Neurospora crassa OR74A: one gene and its partner. The protein of the gene in region 2 purifies or fractionates together with the protein of the main gene of each other region. This does not show direct contact. Links are inferred from orthologs where the notes say so. Each region holds a gene or a part of one and is shown on either strand. Other genes may lie near its edges.

What was found. Proteins that work in one complex are often made in the same cells at the same time.
Region 1: the proteins of NCU04507 (region 2) and NCU05305 purify together in Saccharomyces cerevisiae (affinity purification with mass spectrometry, with the first as the bait; 3 studies listed by BioGRID). This does not show direct contact. The link is inferred for Neurospora crassa OR74A from reciprocal best matches to the Saccharomyces cerevisiae genes NPA3 and RPB5.

Annotation. Positions count from the first base shown.
Region 1 is NC_026504.1:5,394,105-5,401,409, reverse strand, and holds NCU05305 (DNA-directed RNA polymerase II polypeptide), read left to right. Parts: upstream 1-3,571; 5' UTR 3,572-3,813; coding exon 3,814-3,906; intron 3,907-4,002; coding exon 4,003-4,085; intron 4,086-4,203; coding exon 4,204-4,732; 3' UTR 4,733-5,352; downstream 5,353-7,305. Other genes in the region: NCU05304 (nuclear segregation protein), read right to left, coding at 834-995, 1,055-2,221, 2,416-2,544; NCU05306 (hypothetical protein), read right to left, coding at 5,673-6,890. UniProt on the Saccharomyces cerevisiae protein: DNA-dependent RNA polymerases catalyze the transcription of DNA into RNA using the four ribonucleoside triphosphates as substrates.
Region 2 is NC_026504.1:3,140,532-3,147,773, reverse strand, and holds NCU04507 (ATP binding protein), read left to right. Parts: upstream 1-2,901; 5' UTR 2,902-3,148; coding exon 3,149-3,221; intron 3,222-3,296; coding exon 3,297-4,423; 3' UTR 4,424-4,593; downstream 4,594-7,242. Other genes in the region: NCU04506 (hypothetical protein), read right to left, coding at 363-1,631; NCU04508 (hypothetical protein), read right to left, coding at 5,014-5,038, 5,126-5,328; NCU04509 (HIT domain-containing protein), read left to right, coding at 6,289-6,993; gcy-3 (aldose reductase), read right to left, coding at 7,153-7,242. UniProt on the Saccharomyces cerevisiae protein: Small GTPase required for proper nuclear import of RNA polymerase II (RNAPII). May act at an RNAP assembly step prior to nuclear import. Promotes sister chromatid separation during anaphase.

The DNA of each region.
Region 1 (7,305 bases), about 2.3 Mb from region 2:
GGATAGGTAAGGTAACTATCTTTTATCGTTGACAGCTGTCGTTGCGGTGAGAAGCGAGGAAGGATGATGGTTGTTGGTATTTGAGGTTGACGGAACATGGCAGGCAAGCAGTCAATGAAAGCAAACATCCAATGGCACTTGACGGTCAGGAGGAGGTATGGAAGTGCGAGTGTGGAAGATGGGTATCAATGTCCCTCTTGTTTTCCACTCTCGTATCTAAGCTATCCCAAGAGTCCTTTTCACATGTTCCCGCCAGTCTCTTCCACTCCCACACCTGGCCGTGCTTTGTTTCGGGGCCTGCGATACCTCAGTTTGCGTGCTGTCCTTCGTTTTTCGATTCCCTTATGTTCACCAACCACCAGAAACATCACCTCGATACCTTATACGTTAGGGAGCAGGTTCGGACGAGTCCAGCTATTAAAGTCTTTTGCGTGTGAAGGTGAGGTTGAGTTAAGAATGCCACCCCGTATTTTGAATTCCCGAACATTTCCCCCCTTTTCTGTACCCCAAAAAGCATGCTAACAACATTTGATGGAACAGACCAGGGTGGTGATAACTGAAGAGACCAACCACTAAGGCAAAAAAAAGGATGAATATCGGCGATATATATGCGAATGATAATGTGCCGGGATAGATGCGCACAACATCTGACACGGCTGTGACGTCGTTGTGGGCAACGGACGGTAGTGGTAGGGATGAAAAAGAGGGATGACAGGACCCAAATACCCGCTTAACCTGGCAACCTGAACCTCGTCGGAGTCCTGGTCCCCCTCAAATCATGGCTTCCCAAATGTCAGAGAACGAGACGATCCGTGACGTCGATGGCGGCGCTTCTATGCGGAAGCCTCGACAGCCTCAGTCTTCTCTTCAATGGTGGCGTTCTTGACGCCCTCGGTGACCTCCTCGACGGCCTTCTTGGGGGTGGCAGAGCCGGAAGCCTCACCGGCCTCCTCAGCCTCGAGGCGCTCAATCTCCTTCTTGGCCTTCTCAATGTTCTGCAAGCGGCATTGTTAGCAACGGCTAGTTCAACAGGAACGAAACAATATCAACATACCTTGCGAGTCTGCTCAGGCTGGTCAGCCTTCCACTGCTCGAGCTTGGCCTTGATCTTCTCGACGGCAGCAGGGATATCGGTAGCAGCCATGGGGGGCTCGACACCGACGAAGCTGCAGTCCTCAATGACCGAGGGAGGGAGGCTGAAGGTCTTGCCGGTGGCGACAGGGGCAGCACCGGTGGGCTTCTTGGACTTCTTGCCCTTCTTGACGGCAGGGAGGTAGTCGTCATCACGCTCCTCCTTGCGGACGAGCTTCATGCCCTTGAGGCCAGAGTCGTCAACCTTACGAAGAGCCTGGGCACCGAGACCCTTGTCGGCCAGGAGAGGAGCCTTCTCGGCGACCTCGTGGCTGGGGTCGAAGTACTTGAGGAGAGAGTTGGCACGGCGGATCTCCTCGAGGTAGGCGGGGTCAGAAGCCTCGGCAAGCATCTTCTGGGCACGCTCCATGCGGCGCTCCTTGGCGATGCGCTCACGCTCGGCCTGCTGTCTCTCGCGAGCCTTCTCGCGCTGCTCACGCTCCCACTTGGCGAACTCCTTCTTAGCGCCGTAGTACTCATCCTTGAGCTTCTTGATGGCCTGGTACTTTTCAGACTGGAGCTGCTGGAGCTTGGTGCGCTCGTCGCGCAGGCTGGAGAGGTTCTTGTAGGCCTCGTCCTGCTCGGCCTTGATGGCGTCAAGCTCGGCCTGGAGCTTGTTGTACTTTTCGCTGAGGGCCTTGGCCTCGGGGTCCTCCAAGCTGTCCTTGATCTCCTTGATCTTGGCCTTGAGGTCGTCGATCTGCTTCTGGGCATCGTCGAAGCCAGCAAAGCTCTTGCGCTGCTTGCGGAGGTTGGAGATCTCGGCGAGGGCCTTCTTCTCGTCGACGAGCTTCATCATGCCGCCGTTGACCTCCTTCTCCAGGCGCTCAATCTCGCGGTCGAGTTCCTCGGTGGACTTGAAGTTGACCTTGCTGCGGGCAGTCTTTTGCTCGGCAATGCGGCTGCGGAGCTGCTCATCGAGGCGCTTGATCTGGTCGAGCTTGGAGGTGCGGGCATTCTTGCCACCGGCCTGCTGCTGACGGATCTCGTTGAGCTGGGAGATGAGCTCCTGGCGCTTCTTCTGGGTGGGGCTGGGCTGGTCCTTGTTCTTGCTAGGAGCGGCGAGCTCAACCTTGGCCTTGATCTCGTTCTGGATTCAAGGACAATTGGTTAGTCTGGCCTTGTCACATGGCAATTGGAGGCAGCAGCTTCTAGTAGCAAAAGACGTGGTGGTGGTGAGGGTGGCGTGGACGGCAGGGTGCATCGTGAGTGCGAGGGCGGGTGCTCTGACTCCACGGTATCGGGTAGATGCGCTCTTGGTAGCGGCCAGGGCAGGGGACTCACGTATTTCTTCAGGGCCTCCTGATACTCCTTCTCGGCCTTGGCGAGGTTCTCGTTGAAGGCATCCTGATCAGGCTTGTGAGGCTTGGTGGTGGCCGCAGGGGCGGCAGCGGGGGATTGCGACTCGGCCATTGTGTGTGGTGTTGGGGGTTGCTGAAGGAAAAAAAGAAGAAGGAAGAAGAGACGAAAGGAAGGGAATAGTAAGATAAAGACGGGGAAGGGGGACTAGGCAACCGGGGGGCGTGGGTCGGAGCCGGTGGGTAGGTTGGTTGGAGAGCTACTTAGTGTAGAACAGCCGCGGGCGACCTGAGGAAGGATGGGAAGTGGAAGGCAGTGCACGTCCGAGGACCGCTGTTCGGGTCCTGTAGGATAGGATGTACCTCTGGGGTAATCGCTGCTTTGAGATGTGGTTATGTGGATGTGTAGTGGAAGATGGGGTCCAGACTGCCCTGGGGAGAACAATGGCTAGGTAGTGCGGGTGCTGTCAATGCCTGATCTGTTTTGCCCGCATCCAAATTGACAATTGAACGGGAACTAACCTAACTTTGGTCACTTTGAACCCTCAATTCACAGTCCCGTCGCCAGTTCCAAAAAATTCCAAAATTTGTCCCGCTTCAGGCGTGTTCCAGATCTGCAGATCGTGGCCTTTCCCCGACACCGTGTCACGCGTGTCACCGTCTTGGCCTGTGCGCTACTACCTACCCTACCAAGTACATATGGTGCGCTGGTTGGTTGGTTGGTTGGTTGGTTGGTTGGTTGGAGGATGATGATGATAGGTTGAATTGGCTCTTCACTAAGTTCACTTCACTTTGCCCAGCAATGTCCCTCATGGAACATATATGGATCATGGAAGAGGTTTATATAGGTAGTTGGCCGAGGAGAATTAATTTTGTGTACTATCATGTATGTACCGGAAACGCAACTTGAAGTGTATGTCCGCTTTTCCAGTCATGCATAAAACCAGCGCACGCCATCACTGTTCCTCCTAGGTCTTTCACGACTTCAACAAACTGCCTGCCTGAATCAGAAGCCGGTCAACGGTCAACAGCACAGACCATCTGCGCGCTTACTTGTAGTGTCTCACAGGGGTGAAGGCAGCCTCCGGCTCACTGTGGACCCATCCATCTCTTATCGGCCGGCGTGGAATCCTGGAGTGCCCGGGCGTTAGGTCTGATCAATGCGGCCACGCCTCTGGTTTTCGGCGACACCCACCCTTCCCGCAATTTTTTGAGAGCCTTTGTCCTTCAGCCTCGTAAACAGGAAAGTCCTCCAAGCTATCAATCCACCAACACGCCATCCACCATCGCGAACCACCACCTCACCTGCGCAACCTCCACATCACCACCACTCCGCGACGACAAACACTACACTTCAATCGACTGCCCAACACACACAGTCAAAATGGAGGACGACAGCAGCCCCACCAGTGCCTCCAAGGAAGTCTCCCGTCTGTGGAGGGCCTGGAGGACTGTTCACGAGATGGTTCAGGACAGGGTACGCCATCCATCCTTATCACGGCGCTTGCTCGACGCGCCATCGCCCAGAATGATTCGACCTATTCTGACATGTACATGTGCTTCTCGACTATAGGGCTACGAGTTGGCGGAAGACGAAGTCAAGATCTCGCTCGAGCGGTTCAAGGCTGAATACACGAACGAGGATGGAACACCAAAGTGAGTTCCTGCGTCGGCACCCATCACCCCTCCATCACCACCACTTTACGCGTCGCATTTCAAACCTCAAACCACTATCACCTCCCCACCAGACTAACATGACGACACCAAACCACAGCCGCGCCAAGCTCCAATTCTCCGCCCGCCCCTCGGAAGCCATGATCAAAAAGTTCACCGCCCCTCCCACGCCCTCCAACCCCAACCCCGTTCCCGAATGCGGCACCATCTGGGTCGAGTTCTGCACCGAAAAGGGCTCCATCGGCGTGTCCGTCATGAAGAAATTTGTCACCCACTGCTCCGACAACAAGTTCAAAGCCGGCATCTTCATCACCGCCGTCCCGCTTTCTGCCCAGGCCCGCAAGGTCATGTCCGTCACCTCGCAGTACACACAGGTCGAGTGCTTCCTGGAGGAGGACCTGCTGGTCAACATCACGCACCACGAGCTCGTGCCCAAGCACGTGTTGCTGTCCAAGGAGGAGAAGGCCGCGCTCCTCAAGCGGTACCGACTCAAGGAGACGCAGCTGCCGAGAATTCTGAGCAAGGATCCGATTGCGCGGTATCTGGGACTCAAGAGGGGCCAGGTCGTCAAGATCATTCGTGTGTCGGAGACGGCGGGTCGCTATGCTTCTTACAGGCTTTGCGTATAAGGGGGGCAAGCGTGTGTGCGTGAGAGAAGGGGGTGGTTGCGTGCGGTTGGCAAAGCTGGGCTGGCTGGCTGGCTGGCTGGCTGGAGGGCACTACACCAATCCATCCAATCTCTCCCCAGGCTTGATTTGTTCTCTGGACGGTCTTCGACGGGCCAACGCGGGTCTGGCTGGTGGGAATCAGTTGATGACTATATGGACGAGGACTGGATAAGAAGCCTTGGGAAGGGGACGATGACGGCCAGCAGCGAAGCAAGAAAGAAGTGAAAGCACGGCAGCCACCAGCGGGACAGGGAGGAAGGGGTTAGGGGTTCGGTTGTGTAATACAAAACACTTGGGCGTTTTTCTTTTTCTTAACTATTCTAGCATCATGGGGGATACAGGGAAATCAGTTTCTGTTCTTTCGAATTCAAAAGAGGACAAAGAAAGAAAGGCGTTACGGAGTGGCTTTTGTACTAAGTAGCTTGAGATATATACCGACAAGAGAATATCCGAGCTATCATTATGAAATTTTGAGACAAGAGAGATTAGAGCAGTTGGGTACTGTGTTTGCTAATGGGTATATTCACCACGGAGTCTACTATATTAGAGTGCTTATCTGAGCTAGAAGTAGCCCCTGGCTGAATCATCAACATTCAGGTGTTTGGATGCTGACTGAAAGAAAGTTTCGTCAATCCCTTTTGAAATCGGGCATGAGATATCAGAGTTATTGAGCTGTTGATTCGATTGCTCAAGAGTTACTCAGTGACTGGTGACATTGTATTGACCAATACAGAACTATACGCAGCCTCTACCATAAAGTCAAGACACTTATCCTCCAACACTGTAATCCGTTTGTTACATGGCATGTTGACTGTTCAATTATTCATTCATTCCTCTGTTAATACACACCTAAAAGACTCACTCAAGTCCAAATCACGAACCAATCCCAATCCCAATCCCTCTAAGGCCAAACCTCAACCTTCTCCCACTCCCCCTGCACCTCCCCGCCCGCCTCCTTCGCATGATAACTATTTCCCCTCCACAAATACAACCACCGCCTCGCCCTCTTCGCATCCGACAAATCCACCTGATCCACCTCGGTCGGCACAATCACCACCACCCTGAAATTCTTTCTGGCTACCTCATCCTGCAAATCCACCACCTCCTGGCCCAACCCCTCCCCTTTTCCAGGGGGGAACGCCACCGGCTGTCCCGGCGGCGGCCCGCGAAACGTGCCCCTCATGACCGGATTCAAATTTCCAAAATGCGCCGTAACCTCCCTGCTCCAGCTCCATTGCTCCTCATCCTCCTGTGTCTTGCCCTCCAGTCTGCGCATCCGCTGCCGCAACACCTCCCGCACCTTCTTGGCCCCTTCACTGTCCACGTCCGGCCCCAAAAGCCAGGCTGATCCACGGATCCGCCACTGCGTCATCACTTTTTTGTCTTCTCCTGTTTGGGCGTCTTTAGCCTTCTCAATCCAAAATACGGCCTCAACGGGCCCCCCGCCGCCCGTCATCTCCCCGCCCGCTTCGATCCGCTCTTCCGAGGCCGTGTCGACGATCTCGGCGGCTTTTTCCATGCGGGCGTCCGTGGTGAAGGCGATCATGTCGCTTTCGAACACGCCGGGAGGGTTCAGCTCGGCGGGGTTGTGCGGGTTGGCTTCGAGTTGGGCCCAGAGACTGCGGCAGACGCAGGTGCGGGCGCGGGGGAGGACGGGGATGGTGGAGGAGACGGGGGTCGGGGTCGAGGTGGAGGATAAGGAAGGGGGTAAAGGGTGGAGGGTGGAGAGAACGAAGGTGCGAGAGGAGGGAGGGAGGGAGGTTAGGTGGGAGAGAAAGGGGGCGCGCCAGGGGGGTGGGGTGGAGGGGAGTGGTTGGCGGTTGGATTGTTGAGGGGTGGAGGTGGACATTTTGGTGGCGGTTGTTGAGGAGGGGGTTGAGGTGGTTGAAGTAGTGCCGGTGAGGCAGCGGTTGATGGATGGTGGTTTGGTGTAGCGCGGTGGTGATGTTTTGGAGATCTTCTGGTCGAGATTGGTAGCTGTTGCGGGAAGCCTTGGGACTTTGGTCGACAGAGAACGAAAGATGATGGTAGAGAGTCTCTGGGAATGCGGTGATGATTTCTGACAACAGCTGTTGGTAATGTTGAGCTTCAACTTGATGACGGGCAGTCTACTAGCCATTCATCGATGACGTCCGTGATTGGAAACAGGTGGGCGTTGAGCGAGGTTGCTCGGTGGAAGGAAGTCTGCCCCTCGTATGTTGACGTTGCCAGTGATGCTGGTTAATTGGAGGTCGAATGGGTGAACTGAAAGGCAGACGCAATGTTGATTTGAGATGTCCAGAAGAAGGAGCAAGTTATTGGAAGGAATGAAGAGGGTTGATGTAGGGCAACAGCTACAGTAGTGCCTCTATGATGACGGCTGCATGTCTGACCCCACGCTGCGATGACGGAGTCGATCGGGCCCGGGCCTACCCCGCTGTTTACTTGCTCCATTCGTCAACAGCCATCAAGGTGTTTGCTCGTTTGGAACAAACTGAAACCTTCCTATCACTGGTAGTATCCGAATAGGATATTGATTGCAAAAACAGCTTGGA
Region 2 (7,242 bases):
GTGACACTAATTTAAGTCTTGCTGCCTGGAAGTGCTGCAGAGGATATTTGGTTAGGCCTACGGGACAATGCTCTCTCAACTTGGCGCCTGCAAAGTGAAGAATTACATTGATCTTATCGAACCTTCAAGTGCCTTGACAATGAACCAGCACGCTAACTCCTCTTTTTCCCGTCCAAGTCTTCATCATCACATAAAGTCAAAAGTCTGTACACATATTATAGCAAAGAAAAAAGCGAATGGGTATTTGAAGAACCAAGTAAAAAAAACAAGATATAGCCACCTGCCTGTCTATCATCCAATGTCAAGCCACATTGGAAAAAAAAAATGAAAAAAAAAAACCTGTTAAATTCGTTCCTGTTCCATCACCTTGTGTATGTGTTCTTATACAGCTGCTGAGCCTGTGGACTGTGTCCATACTGGTTGCCGGGAACTTTCAACGGGTCCACGGGACCGTAATCCGCTGGATTATACGGAGCGTAGTGAGACGGATGCGGGATACGCGGGTCTAATTTCTTCAAAGCCTCCTCCCTGTGCTCCTCGGACGTTTCCTGGTGAGTCTGTAGTCCAAAATTCTTGTCCAAAGCGGGAGACGGGAACCCGCTGCGTAATGATGGGTTCGGGCTTGCTTGTGGCCGGTCGGACGAGTATGACTGACTGGAATTTCGGTTGGAGGATGACAGAGATTGAGGCTGAAGGTTTGATGGGGCGTGGTAGAAGTCGCCTGGCATCTCAATCGGACCATTTGAGACCGGTTCAGGGTTGGTGACAGACAGCTCCTGTGGTCCATTCGGGGTTCCATAGCCGAAAGCAGCTGGTGCCTTTCCGTAGCTGTTAGGACGGTGGTAGGATCCAGGAGTACTTGACCGGTGTTGACTGGGAGTAGCAGATAGCGGTCGCGGGATCTGGTAGGGAATACCGGGAGACTGAGGTGGTGTACCAGAGGCCGATGAGCTGGCAAATGTGGGCGAAAACTGAGGGCCCGGAGAAGCCACCGCCGGTCGTCGGACTGTATTCCTCTTGTCGGCCGGGTTGAACGTCTTCAGCTTTCCGTCCTCGATCATAGCCTGAAGCACGCCAGCATCCAGTAACTCAGCCTTCTTGATGATGCGTCTCACCATTTCCCCACCCGCCTTCTTCATTTGCGACTTGACAAAGCTCATGACAGTGCGACTGCACTTGATCTCAATATCCTCACGGAGATATAACCCATCCGACGGTGCCCCAAGAGCTGATAACCCCATCTCAAGTGGCTCTGGAGGCTCAAAGTTTGGTTGATTACCGGCGATGCGATAGGTGTTGCGAAGGTCAACGTTCATGGGGGCGTATATGTGAGTCTGAAGACCCCACGGCATGTCGTGAAAGCAGCCATTGAACTTGATGGTTGTAGCCCCCATCCTCCCAATTCCAGGCAGAATCGTGACTCGTTCGGTGATCTCATACCATGTCGCATAATACTCGTCTGTTTCTGCATCCTGGGGGGCCGCGATGGGCTTGTGGTCGAGGACAAGAGGGTTAAGAGTAATGACTTCAGAATGAGAATGAAGGATGTCGATGGCCAACTGTCGTGGAATGAAGCCCGGGATGGGCGTGATAACGGTGAAGGCTTCCTTCTTGCGCAACATGGTGGACATTGGATGCTGTGGGTAGATATGTAACACCGATAAATGAAAGTTTATTCACCTCTATAGAGGTGTGGGCAGGGTATAGTAGCCGATCTCCGAAGCCTGGATTTGATGAGTCGCTGGAATTTGGCCCAAGTCGGATGATGAATCTGGCCCTGGTGTGGGACGAGAGACGAAACAAGAGAGGAAGTGGGAGGGAGAGAATTCAAACGGATCTTGGGGGTCAGCTTGGAGTATAATGGATAGAACGTGGTAGAGGTAGGTTGGTAGGGCTGAGTATCATGAGGGGCAGCCTGTGGATGGCCGCTTGGTTCCCGGCCACGCTGCCTCCTGGTAGTGCCGAACAGACGGATCTTGCCATTACGTTTGTGGCTTATTGGACCAACCCAGCTCCCATCACCCACCATTTTGAAGAGAATTTTGACGCAATAAGAGGCCACCGGCTGCGCCCACTCCCCAGCGCGGGACCACCGACCATACGCTTAGCATGGGTTTAGCGGTCATTGGCATTGGTGAATCGCCCCCGCCAGCATCCTGCCTATAGTTCCTGACCTTTTCCGAAGATGACGTGAGACGCCTTTTCTCCCATCGCTTATCCCGGTCTCGTTCAGCAGTATCAAATTGCCACTCGACGACTCCCCGAATTGTCCAAAAAGCATCCGTATCCGGCTTCATTGCTAGGCGTGAAAGGATTAGTTGAAACTGGACAAGTGGACAGACTTCATTGAACAATAGCCTGTGAGGTCGATGAAGCCTTCGGGGCTTGTCTGCCCGCGGCAAGTGCTATGCCATCCAGCCGTTGAGATCCTAAAATATCCAGGCACCCATAATACCGGGGTATAACTTGAAGAGCGGGACCGCCAAGTTACTAGGTCGAGTGTCGACTAGCTACTGCGGCGGTTGAGGGCTGTGGTATTCGCGGATTAACAGCGGCTCGGCTGAAAACAAGAAGCTGTCAAGCAGGCCATATGGGCTTTTGATATAGGCATGATAACAGGGTATAGGTCGCCAACTGATTTAGTTCCAAATTGGTAAAAAGATGATGGATGAGATGCGAGCCGGCCAGATATGGATTGGATGTCGAGGAACATGAAGGCGTAGGTAGTTGGAAGATGAATGGGTGAGAGGATGAAAAGAGACCAATGTCGAGGTTTCAGTCATTTCACTTTGGGGAAAACAAAATGCCAAGCCTTACCTACCCTTCACCCCACCCATGCCTTGATGGATGGAACCTTTCCGCCCGCTACGCCAGGCGATCAATGGACTTTGGTTTTTTTTTGTTTTTTTTTTTCTCTTGCGGTGTTGCCCCTCTGTGGCCCTCGGACATTCACTCCGTCGCAACCACCTATGACCATCCCTACAGCAGTGACCCCGCCGCTTACGACATCCGTGAAACTTTCTTCCCGAGACTCATTACAACACCATCTCTGCGCAAACTGAAATCTGCAACAACTTTGATTTTATCCGACAGATAACACAGAGATCACCAAACGATCTTCCACGCACCCGTGCACAGCTGTCGCACCATGGCTTCGACTTCGGCATCGTCTGCCGCCAAGGCTGACCAGCCTGTTGCCATCGTCTGCGTTGGCATGGCAGGTAGGTCTACGCATGCTCATGTTCTGTGCTTTTCCCAACCGCAAGCGGAATCATCCAGCTGACCATGTTCCCCAGGATCCGGCAAGACAACCTTTATGCAACAGATCAATGCCCATCTCCACGGAAAGAAGGAGCCTCCTTATGTCATCAACCTCGACCCAGCAGTCACCCACTCGCCCTTCGAGAGCAACATTGACATCCGCGACTCGGTCAACTACAAGGAGGTGATGAAGCAGTACAACCTCGGCCCCAACGGCGGCATTCTCACATCGCTGAACCTCTTTGCCACCAAAGTCGACCAGGTTCTCGGCCTGCTCGAGAAGCGCACGGCGCCCAAGCCCGACGACCCGACGCACACGCCCATCAAGCACATTCTCGTCGACACGCCGGGCCAGATCGAGGTGTTCGTCTGGTCCGCGTCGGGCCAGATTCTCCTTGAGTCGCTCGCCTCATCCTTCCCCACCGTCATCGCCTACATCATCGACACCCCCCGGACGAGCTCGACGTCGACCTTCATGAGCAACATGCTGTACGCCTGCAGTATCCTTTACAAGACCAAGCTGCCCATGATTCTGGTCTTCAACAAGTCGGACGTTAAGGACCCGGCTTTTGCAAAGGAGTGGATGACCGACTATGATGCGTTCCAGGCTGCGCTGCAGGAGGACGAGACCAACAACGCGTTTGGCGGAGCGGAGGGCAGCGGCGATGGCATGGGCTCGGGCAGCGGATACATGGGCTCGCTGTTGAACAGCATGAGTCTGATGTTGGAGGAGTTTTACGCACATCTGAACGTGGTGGGCGTCAGTTCGCTGTACGGGACGGGCATTGACGAGTTCTTTGCCGCGGTTCAGGAGAAGGCAGAGGAGTTCAAGCGCGATTACCAGCCTGAGCTCGAGAGGAGGCGCGAAGAAAGGGAGGAGAACAAGAAGAAGGCGCGGGAGAGGGAACTCAACAAAATGATGAAGGGAATGTCGATGGGCGACGCGGCGGGCGACGTCACAGTGGGTGACGTCAATGATAAAGAGGCCCCCGAGCCGTTGAGCACGGACGAGGAGAGCAGCGACGAGGAATATGGTGACGATCCCAACGACGAGTATGACCGCGAGGGATTGCAGGCGAGGTACGCCGCTGCCATGCAGGGCGAGGATGATTCGGTTTTGGCCGACGCAAGTTTTGCAAAGTACCTCCACAGCCAGAGGTGATGAGATTGGCCATTGGTAAGGAAAGGATTTATGGAGCAGTGTTGGCAAGACAAGTGATCGAGAGGGAAGGAGATTTAGCATACAACCGGCGTTTTCAGAGTGATACCATACCAATATTCTATATGGCAAAAAACATGATCAATAATGAGAAGCATCACAGAACGGATCCATCTGATGGTGATAGGTGATGATGACGATGATGAAAAGCAATGCTTTCTTTGTATAAATTCCCACAAGTCTACCGATATTTCCCAGAACGCCGCCATCATGATATTGTGATGAATATGATATCTCCCTTCTTCTGATCACAACAAGCCGTAGGTTCAAGGCTGGGCCATGCTAAGCCACCGCTAATGGTGCAAAATCACACCAAGATATCGACGGTTCGAGTCTCCTACGGTCCCAGCTCCCCTCGACAAATGTTCCCGTTGCCTCCAAGGCTGACTCGGCTCCCGTCCTTGGGCATCAGGACATCCCGGCCGGTCCAAATACGATGAAAACTTCAGCCCGATACGGCATCGAGGAAGAGCGACCCCTTTCTACACCTCCTTTGTTGGCCCCAAGTCGAACAAAGTCGAATAAGAAACCATTTACCGAGCCTCGAACTGAACCATTCTATTACCCCCAGACCGTCGTTAGCATAAGATTTTTCTCTCCCACCTTCTCAGAATCTTCCACCGGGTAAGCCCAAAGAAAACGTACCTCTTGGTGCGCTCCTTATACAAAACACGCGCACCGCACTTCTGGCAACGGATAGGAGCGCCCTTCTCGAGCGGCACGCGGACCGCGCAGTCGCCGCAAGTGTACCACATGACGCTGCTGCCACCGCTGTTGCCGTCGTTGTTAGAGGCACCGGTGGTGAAGCCCTGGGAGTTGGGGACCTGGTATTGCTCGCGGGAAGACATCTTGGTTGTTTGTGTTGTGTTGAGGGTGGTGTGGTATTTGTGGTTTGGGTTTGTTTGTCGTCGGGTTTGCTCGGATAAATTGGATGACGGTTATGCAACGTGTAAGATTGTCTTTGTGTTGAGGCGACGACAAATCGATGTTATGCGATTTATAGCGATATGCGACGATGATGTCGTTCGGTTGATGATGATGATGATGTTGAATATTTACCGGTGGAGTGGTTTGCGACGGACGAGAGGGACGGAGCGCTACCTATACAGGCGACTGAGTTTCAACTGGACGCGAACAACGAAAGGTAAAAAAAGGCGGGACGCTGAGGCAGAAAGTTCCAGACTTTGACAAAGGGTGACAGAAGCAGGCGGCGTTCGGACTTTGCGAATGCAAGTTACCCCTGTCATATCATGATAAATTCTCCACTCTTCTGTGGGTAGCTGTCAGCGCGGCAGGCAATTCCCCCACGTTTTCGGCGGAGTTTGGAGGCCGAGGTTGTTCGCGGCAGCCCTGGCGCCTCACCACTGCACACCACCGGGTCGATGCCCGCCGGCAAGCGGAGGTAAGACAGGGACGGGGAACGGGCCCGGTGCTTCACTTGTGTTTGGCTTTGGGGTCTTTTCAGATGCCGCCCCGGACCTCTCGTCCCGTACTTCACTGAGCTACTATTTAGTCATCAGCTAGAAATCATCATACAAGAGTCATTAGTGGTGTTTCCTTTTCGGATTTGTCACGGAGCAAGGCGTTCTTCTTGATTATTTGTTTGACATTCTGTCGCATTGGTCCTTGGTTACGGGGCGTACTCAGCAAACAATCATTCTCGGCATCATTACATAGCGAGATCAGCTTCACTCCTAGCCCTTGTCGAGATTTCCCTTGAGTATTTCTTCAGTTCAAGTTTAACTCGGGGCTCTTCGACATATACAATCGTTCAAACACATCACTACGTCATACGCCAGACTGCAGCCATGGCCTCTTCAACCGACAAGAAGCCACCAGCAACACCAGTTCCACGCTCCATCGTCCCCGACGCCAACACTTTCGACCCCAGCCTTCCCGCCTCCAAGACAGGCGCCGGCGCCACTAACACCTCATCCTCATCCTCCTCCGATACCCAACCCAACTGTCCCTTCTGCCACATCTCCTCGACCTTCCCCCCCTACCCCCCTACCACCCCCCCTTCTCCCTTCCCCCCCTCCACCTCCACCTCCCCACAACCACAAACCTTCCTCCTCCTCTCCACCCCCCTCCTGATCGCCTTCCTCGACATCATGCCCCTCTCCCCAGGCCATCTCTTACTCTGCCCCCGTCGGCACGCCGCCAAACTCACCGACGTTCTTCCCGATGAAGCCGCCGAATTGGGGCGTTACCTACGGATCCTCTCGGAAGCAGTGACGCGGGCGACGGGAATCAAAGACTGGAACGTGGTCCAGAACAACGGGTCGGCCGCGGCGCAGGTTGTTGAGCATATGCATTTTCATATCATTCCCAGGCCAGGGCTGAGGGAGGCTGAGAGATTTACGAGTACCATGTTTGGGAGGGGGAAAAGGGAGGATTTGGATGAGGACGAGGGGGAGGAGTTGGCGAGGAGGGTGAGAGGGTTTGTCACGGAGGTGGTTAGGGAGGAGGAGGAGGAGGGGGAGAGGGGGCTAAGGGAGAAAGCGAAGCTGTAGGGAGCGGGGTTGGTCGGAACGGATGTCACAGATGTGTGGTCACGGAGCATAGCCAGTCATTAATCTCGAGCGAGCATTTTCTGGTGTCATTATTCATTATTGTTCATCTATGGGGGGAATATCTTGCCAGCATCCTCTTGGCTGCACGGTGTACGACGCTTAGTCGCTGTCGCCAGCACCGAAGAAGATCTTGACAGGCAACCAGTCATCGCCGCAGACCTTGAAGCTGTTCTCCTTGTGAACCTCATC